2 linked regions of the Nothobranchius furzeri genome follow. The protein of the gene in region 1 interacts with the protein of each later gene in a biochemical or structural test. Links are inferred from orthologs where the notes say so. Each region holds a gene or a part of one and is shown on either strand. Other genes may lie near its edges.

Region 1 (3,815 bases):
ACATTTGTGGGTTTATTGCTGCCCATTAAATTTGAATGTGATTAATCTCCTCAGTGTCTGACAGAAGGCTGTACTCCAGCTTACAGCGGCTCATCTGTCAACTTCGTCTTTTGTTGTGCGAGCCAAGCTAACGGTGATGGCACCGTGCCTTCACAAGCACCAGAGTCATCCTCCGCAAAACCAATGACTCATTTGGAGAAAATAAAGCTTTCTCGGGAGTTCGTTAGGAGTGCAGTGTCGGGGTGTTTTCGGATGGAGTTGAATTTCAGCAGGTTTTAGATTCACTGCGTTTTCTTGTGTTGTAATGAACCAGCTACCTCATGTCCTCCATCATCTGTGGTTTTACTACACCCACCCCCCTTTGCCTTTGCAGACCAGACCTTTGCTGTCTCTCAGCTCTGTCACACACACTCTATTCTGGGAATCTTATCTCCTTTTTCAGTGTTATTTGTGGAATATGTCACAGTTCACCTCAGGAGTATGTATAGATTCTAGTGTTGGATCCTTTCCCCCTCAGGTACAGCAAGCCAACTTTTCTTTAGCTGCGGATGTGGAAAAGGTTGTTGGTACCTTCTGGTTAAAGTAGTGAAAAAACCCACAATTATCCCTGACAGGGATGTGTATTTTTGAAATTCTGGCGATACGATACATATCACGATACAGGGGAGACGATACGATATATCACGATATATTGCGATACATTCAGTCAGACGTTACAAGCATTTTTTTTACTGAATTTATTGTAAGAATGTTCAACAGTCCAAACTGATACGTAACATGTTTAACATGAAGTATCTGAACCATGATGGAGGAAGTTACAGTTCAATGGTGGAAACAAAACCTGTTGCACACTGCTGCCAACTAGCGGGTGGCGATCGAATTGCACAAAACAAAAAGAAAATACACAAAAGTTTGCATGTAAATTCTTTCAAGAATTAGATACACGGCTTTTGAATATCGATGTAATAATCGCAGGAAAAAATATCACGATATATTGCCATATCGATTTTTCCGATACACGGTTTTTTTTAATATCGATATAATATTGTTAGAAAAAATATCACGATATATTGCCATATCGATATTTTCTTACATCCCTAATCCCCGAAACACTGATCCTGGCCAAAGTAAGAATTTACAGAAAATCAACTTTCTTTGTCTCAGGTTTGAAGGACATTTGGAACAGTTGTGTATTTTGTTCTGATCCATCTCATATTAGCCTTTCTTCAGTTTTTCTTTTTTCTTTTTCTTTTCATGCATTCACTTCCAGGGAGGTTGTCTACAGTCCTGTGGACCTAAAACCACTGAATGACACGTCCAACTAAAGCCAGAGGGACATTAAGCTACTTGGCAATAGTCTTCTAGCCTTTACCTTTAACATGCTGGTCAACAATTGTCTTTGCACTCTCCTGAGACAACTCTGCCCTCAGCTTTTGGTGGTCCATGTCCAGTGTGGTACACACCCGGATACCAAACAGCACTGTGACTACTTTTTAGCCTTTAAACAGACCAAACACCCCTGATGCTGATTAAAGGAGCCGTCTGTTAAAGTGTTCTTATGGTCTTTTCTAGGGGTGCCATCCGTTAAGTTAAAGCCAGTTTTACAGTTTCAGTTATTTTATTTTGTCTGATTACTTTTGTACGTTTCAAGTTATTTCCGTGTCCATGTCAGTTTATCTATAAATCACATTTTAAGAAAAAGCTAAATTTGACCAAAATCAAATGACATTTATTTGTTATTCATCTCTTCCCAGGCCTATGAACTCTCCACCCTGACGGGAACCCAGGTTTTGCTACTCGTGGCCAGCGAAACGGGTCACGTGTACACTTTTGCAACCCGAAAGCTCCAGCCCATGATCACGAGTGAAACGGGCAAAGCCCTGATCCAAACGTGCCTCAACTCTCCTGACTCGCCGCCCCGCTCCGACCCCTCCATGGACCAGCGCATGAGCGCCATGGGCTTCGAGGAGACGGATCTCACCTACCAGGTGTCCGAGTCAGAGACCATGGGTGACTCTAAGGTGAGAACAGGAAGTGGGACATGACTGTAATGTCTGGCAGCTGTTAAACTATAAACAACAGTGTTTTTGCCCAAAATAGATTCTGTTAAAACCAAGCAAGTCTCTAATGGAGACAGATGTTGCAGGGGGAGTTTGAGGGAAGAAAGATGGAACACCGTAGTGAGTTACTAATGAATAGAATAGGAACTCTCTCCAGAAAAGGCCAGCAGACAAGGGAGCAAATAAATCAGACCCACAAACGGCAGTGGAAATAAAAATCCCTCTTGTAAACAGATTTGTAGTATGTTTCTGGTTTGGGCTCGTTAGATTTTCATCACTTTCTAGTCCATCAAAGGCCTGCAGACCAAAGGAGAGTCAGATAAGATGTGGAGGGTTTAGTGAATCAAGCAGTCTACACTTTACCTCGCTGACCTTTCACCCATGAGAACCTCCCAACACCCCTGAGCATAAATCAGCGCAGGTCTGGCCTGTGTTAGGGTGAGGACCATACAGCCTGCTGTTTGTTTTACGTTTTAGGATGGAGCTCTTCTTTGTTCAGGGATAACGGTTTAATTCTTAAACCTGTGCTGCGTTGAGTGCGGGGATTTTTCACTTTAGGTTTAATTAAAAATGCTAAATCTCTTCTAACTTTTATTGGGTTTGTTTTGGCATAAAGTTTTAACTTTAGCGAACTCTTAAAAGTTTGACGTAGAGACGCTCCATCATGCTCACCGTTGTGTGCTCACCTTCAGAACAACCCAACTCCCCTCCACTGTTGACACAGCCTCGAGCGTGCTTCTTTGAAGACGGGACACTTGCGAGGCCCGGTTGGCCACGTGCTGTTTTTACAGGAGCTAACTAACGCGCCCCATCCTCCGTCAGGGATGGGAGATCAACCTTTGCATGTTAATCCACTCTCCAGCCCGCACTGCTCATTGATAAAAATTAGATTCTGCCTCTGTTGCCATATATGGTATGGTTTCCCTGCCTGCGCTCTTGGCTGAGGCCCCTCACATTCCTTATAAGCTGCAGCTGTCTTTGGAGTCCTGTGATTTCACCCCCCTCACTTCCAACCCCACCCCCAACCGCTTTAGTGATATGAAGAGGGGGTATGGATTTAGATATGAGCAAGTGGAAGGGAAACGTTTGACCAAAACTACCCATCCTGCATCATGTGGTGTCCGTTTGGGCGGTTGATGGTGATGTTGCGGCTCTTGGGGCTAAGAGACCAGCACTAGTTTGTTTTGTTAGAACGAGGCAGGTGGATCAGGGTTCCCGTGTGAGTGTTGGGACACCGTCCATCATGAGGGAAGCTTGTCATGCATACAGTCCAACCTAGCCTAAACAATCCAGTGGCTGGCGGGGGTGAGTAGAGAACTCTAGCAGAGACGAGAAAAAGATGCCTGAGTTAAAGGTGCAATAAGTAGAAATGAAATAAAAGGACATCCTGTGATAAAAAATTTGGCTACTGCAACCACTTTAAACAGCTGTGGAGCTTTTTGTCGGTCGTCGTAAAATTACAATCGTCGGCGCTGCAGCATTAGCTCGCAGGAGATGTGGCACCCCCACACTCACTGATGGTAAACAGTAGTTTGTTTATGTATTTAGTAGTTACGCCCCTCCCTTGTTTGTTTTGAAAACCCCACAGCCAGCTGGATATGAAACATCAGTATTCAGTTTCAGTGTAACCCTCCTTCCAAAATAACTGAAACATTAGACTCTTTTGGGGTTTTCTCACCATAAAAATCTCACTAGAATCTTCCATACTGCTCCTTGAATGCTTTTCTCTGTATGTCAGACGTAGCTCCCGTCTCC
Region 2 (4,523 bases), on another chromosome or scaffold:
AACTCAGATTTGTTCATTTATCAGAGGAATGGCCCATTTGTTAACAGTGAAGGGGCGTGGCCTAAAGTCCAACCACTAGGGGTTGCTCAAAATGTTTTAATACGGTACGAAGTTAATTAATTTCAGTAATTATTTAAAAGATAAAACTAATACATGACATGACACTCGTTACATGCAAAGTGGGACCTTTCAACCCTATATTTGTTAGAATTGTGATTATTATGGCTTACAACACCTCTACCCCAAATTTAAAATCTCAGTAAAATGAGTTTAAATCAATAAAACCCTGATTGTTTTTACAGAAGGGCTGACAAAGCATTATCATGCATTTATACTAAAGACTTTGTTTGGGCTCCCTTTTCCCGTTACTGAAATAAATTAAATTTTGTGCAATGTTTTCATTTTTTGAGTTTCACCCATAGATTCTCCAAATCAAGAGTGTAACCTGTTTTGGTAAAACAAACAAAAAAAATGGTAAATGGCCTGCATTTGAAATAGCGCCTTCTAGAGTCCTGGAACCCCCCAAGGCGCTTTACAACACAATCAGTGATTCACCCATTCACATGCTGGTGGGGATGCTCTATGATGTAGCCACAGATGCCCTGGGTCACACTGACAGAGGTGACAAAACAAGTACAAATTAATGGTAAATGGCTTGCACTTACAGATTCTTACAGCCCCCAAGGCGCTTTATAACATATTAGTGATTCACCTATTCACACCCTGAAATGAATAATTAAAAGAATAAAGTTTATCTAATTGTCGTTTTTTTATTTTGTGAGATTTAGCACCAAACCAGCTCCCTGGTTCTTTTTTATTTATTAACCTCTAACCTGTATCCTAACAGCTGTTATAAAGTCTGTGTGCTTCACAATGACTGCTAACTGAACGTTTTATTTTGAAAGTCCCTACCGGAAGCGCGCCGGTTTAAACCGCCGTTACTTTGACCGTGAAGAAGAGAGGTGAAGAGGAGTAAACAGGAACAAACTGTGAAAACTCTCTGAAGTTCGGTCGGTCACTCCGAACCCGGTCCACAAACATCTGGACGGACCCCACGGACTACTTTTCCTCCGTCGCGGAGAACTGTGCTCGGCCCCGCGGAACTCTAGGGCGCGTATCCGCAGTGAGCAGCGTTGTTTCGGGACTGACGCAGCAGGAGAGGCGGGGGCAGCGGGCTAGGCTAGGCTAGGCTAACTGCTGCTGCTCTCGCTGGACCTTGAACTTGTTGAAACTTTTTAAAAGCCACCAGCAGCCGATTGTTCAGACACTCGCACTGAAAACCGACGAGAGGATAAGGATAAGGAAGTTTTTTTTATTTTTTTATTTCTCCGGATAAAGGATTTAATCCCGGAGAGCAGCAGGTTTGTTAGCGGATGAAACGTTTCGGTTCACTTTATTCCGCTGACGCCGAGCGCCTTCTCAGCCCCTGGGGGTGAGTTCCGGTGGACTGGTGGAACATCATCGTCTCCGGTGGTGTGGCCGTGCTTTGTGCACGCTTTGGGTCTGGATTTTGGTTCTGTCCGTGTTAGCATGGAGCCTGGCAGCGGCAGCTCGGAGCGGTTACATAACGCCTGCAGGTCGGGAGAGAAGCTGCTGAACGTCTCCTCCTCCTCCTCCCCCTCAGCTCCACAGTGACAGCTCCGCACACAAACACACAACAACAACAACACAACCCCAAGGAGGAGAATACACAGCAGCATGGAGGAGGTGTGAGTTCATAGGCAGGACCAGAACCGGGACTAAACATGGAGACCAACCCGCTCATTAACGGTGAGAGCTTTTCTCTCTCTGTGTGTGTGTGTGTGTGTGTGTGTGTGTGAGAGAGAGAGAGAAGGAGAGAGTGAGTGTGCGTGCGCTCGCAGGTAGCAACAGGTGTGTGAAGCTGCTTGAAGGCGGCCTGCAGCTGCGTTCGATGTTCGGGCTCGTTTGGACCGGAAAGGTTTTATTCTGCTGCTTGTTGAAACCTGTAAAACCCTCAGTCCTGGTCCATAGTCCTGATCTTCATTCCTGATCCCCAGTCCTGGTCCATAGTCCCGATCGGTTCTGATCCATAGTCCTGATCTTCATTCCGGATCCCCAGTCCTGGTCCATAGTCCTGATCGGTTCTGATCCATAGTCCTGATCTTCATTCCTGATCCCTAGTCCCGATCCCCAGTCCTGATCGGTTCTGATCCATAGTCCTGATCCATAGTCCCGATCCCCAGTCTCTGCAGGTCTAGAAGCGGATTCTTGTCCATCCTTTATTGTTTATTTTTGTGAACTCTTCCCCGCCACCTCTTCCTTTCTTCTCCGCCCCTTTCTCTTTCATTTCTGTCTCCGTTGGGATTTAAAACAACCAGAAGCATTTCTACTGACGTTTTGATATCAGGCGGGGCAGTTTAGCTGCTCCACCTGTGAGTAAAACTCCAGACTGCAGCACCTCTCTCACGCCTGAAGCATCTCGAGCATCAGAACGTCCTACGTGTTCTCCACACCAAAACGTTCCAGATCGTCAATGAGAGCTGGGTTAGGTTTTCCTGCTGGACCGTTTCCTCGTGGCTGATCAGAACATCAGAACGTGTTTCATCATCTGTTTCTTTATAAACGTTAGCTGCTTGATGCTGCTGGTTCAGGTGTGGGTTCCTGCTGCACCATAGAACCTGCAGGAAGTCGACTTCCTTCCTGGTGAGGTGTTGGCTCAGTTAAGGCCTGTCTGTCAGGTCCGATCAGGTCGGGTCACACTGCTGTGGTTGAGGATGGTGCGCTGAATGCTGATCGGGTGTCTGAACCAGAGTGACGAGTTACAGATTGACACTGACTCAACTCGTCCATCTGGAACATAAATGTCTCCACTTGTCCTCAGTGAGAGGACAAACCCTCAGACACTTTCTAGTCGGTGATGTAATTCTGACACGTTGCCGTAGCGATGCTGATGCACTGAACTGTTCAGTGAGATGAGATGTGTGAGCCATCATCCTGACAGATGGGGAGTGAAAGTAGTCTGATTACTGTACCATCACGTGTTTTGTAGATTTGGAGAAGGTGTTTGACCACGCCCCAGGGAAGGGGGGAGGGGGGTATTCCTGGAGTATGGGGCACCAGGCCCTCTGCTGTTAGGTCCCTGTATGACCGGTGCCAGAGCTTGGTCCATGTTGCCAGCAGTAAGTTGAGCTCCTGTTTTGGTGGCCTGAGGATCAGGTCTCTGCATTTGCAGATGATGTGTTCCTGTTGGCTTCATCAGAACGTGATCTCCAGCTTTTGCTGGAGCAGTTTGCAGCTGAGTGTGAAGCACGTCTATTGCGTGTTTCTGCAAGATCCTCAAAAGCTTTCGATGATACAGAACAAAAGTGATCATGTGCAGACTCTGGTGTTGCTGCATCTTATACTCGATGTTTAAGAACTACAAAAGAGGAGAAGAGATGACATCAGTAGTAGCACAGAAGTAGACTGCACTGGTTAGAGTGCTCATTGACATTTATCTAGCTACTGATGGCGGTAATTCTGTGTTGTTACTTCTGCTGGACCTTACAATTCAATTCAAAGATACTTTATTAATCCCAGGGGGAAATTAGAGTTTCAGTTCACACGATTCTGAGAGCAGACATACATACATAGGCATAGGCAGCAGCTATTCCTGAAGTGCTGCTTCACCGTCTCCATCATTATGTCGGGATTTCTGGGTTAGCCCTGGATTGGTTCAGATCATACCTGACAAATAGAAATATGTGTGTAAGGATGGGAAGTTATTCCTCAGAATACTCTGATCTACCCTGGGGGGTACCACAGGGCTCGATATTGGGTCCTCTGTTGTTTTCTATTTACATTCTGCCCTTTGGTGACATCTGTCGTGAGCTTGGAGTTCACGTCCACCTTTATGCTGACGATTGTCAGCTGTACCTGCCTCTGAACACGTCAGGTGGTCTCTCTATTTCTATTCTTACGAACTGTTTGACGGAGATCATGACCTGGACGAGTGGAAATTTTCGGAGTCTAAATGATCAGAAAACAGAGGCGATATTGTTTGCTCCGAGCAGACATTCTGACTCTTCCCTGACTGACTGTGGGTCATTTAATGGCCAGCTGAGTGCTTCAGTGACTAATCTTGGTGTTAAACTGGATAGCGCCCTTAGTTTTGACACCCACATCAATGGAGTGATCTCCTCCTCCTTTTTCCACCTTCGTCGGCTGTCAAAGATCAAATCTTTCCTGTCACGACATGATCTTGAGACGGTAGTCCATGCTTTTATTGCGGTGCGATTGGACTACTGTAACTCTGTTTTATTCGGTGTGAGCAAGCGCTCAATAGCCAGGTTGCAAATGGTGCAGAATGCTGCTGCCAGATTTTTAGAGGGCAGGCGCAAGTATGACCACATTCCTCCTGTCCTGGCTGCGCTTCACTGGCTGCCCGTTGATGTAAGGATTCGTTTTAAGATACTTTTGCTGGTTTTTAAAACATTAAATGGTCTGGCCCCTCCTTACTTGGTGTCATTGCTTCAACCACACACCCCTGCACGGTCACTCCGCTCGGAGAACCTCATGCTCCT

Evidence for each region.
Region 2: the proteins of serum response factor (region 1) and elk1 form a complex in vitro, tested with the Homo sapiens proteins (2 studies listed by BioGRID). The link is inferred for Nothobranchius furzeri from reciprocal best matches to the Homo sapiens genes SRF and ELK1.

What each region holds. Positions count from the first base shown.
Region 1 is NC_091752.1:3,822,685-3,826,499, forward strand, and holds part of serum response factor, read left to right. Parts: intron 1-1,754; coding exon 1,755-2,021; intron 2,022-3,815. UniProt on the Homo sapiens protein: SRF is a transcription factor that binds to the serum response element (SRE), a short sequence of dyad symmetry located 300 bp to the 5' of the site of transcription initiation of some genes (such as FOS).
Region 2 is NC_091755.1:47,140,515-47,145,037, forward strand, and holds the start of elk1 (ETS domain-containing protein Elk-1), read left to right. Parts: upstream 1-1,626; 5' UTR 1,627-1,745; coding exon 1,746-1,770; intron 1,771-3,140; exon of another isoform or gene 3,141-3,379; intron 3,380-3,590; exon of another isoform or gene 3,591-3,687; intron 3,688-4,523. UniProt on the Homo sapiens protein: Transcription factor that binds to purine-rich DNA sequences. Forms a ternary complex with SRF and the ETS and SRF motifs of the serum response element (SRE) on the promoter region of immediate early genes such as FOS and IER2.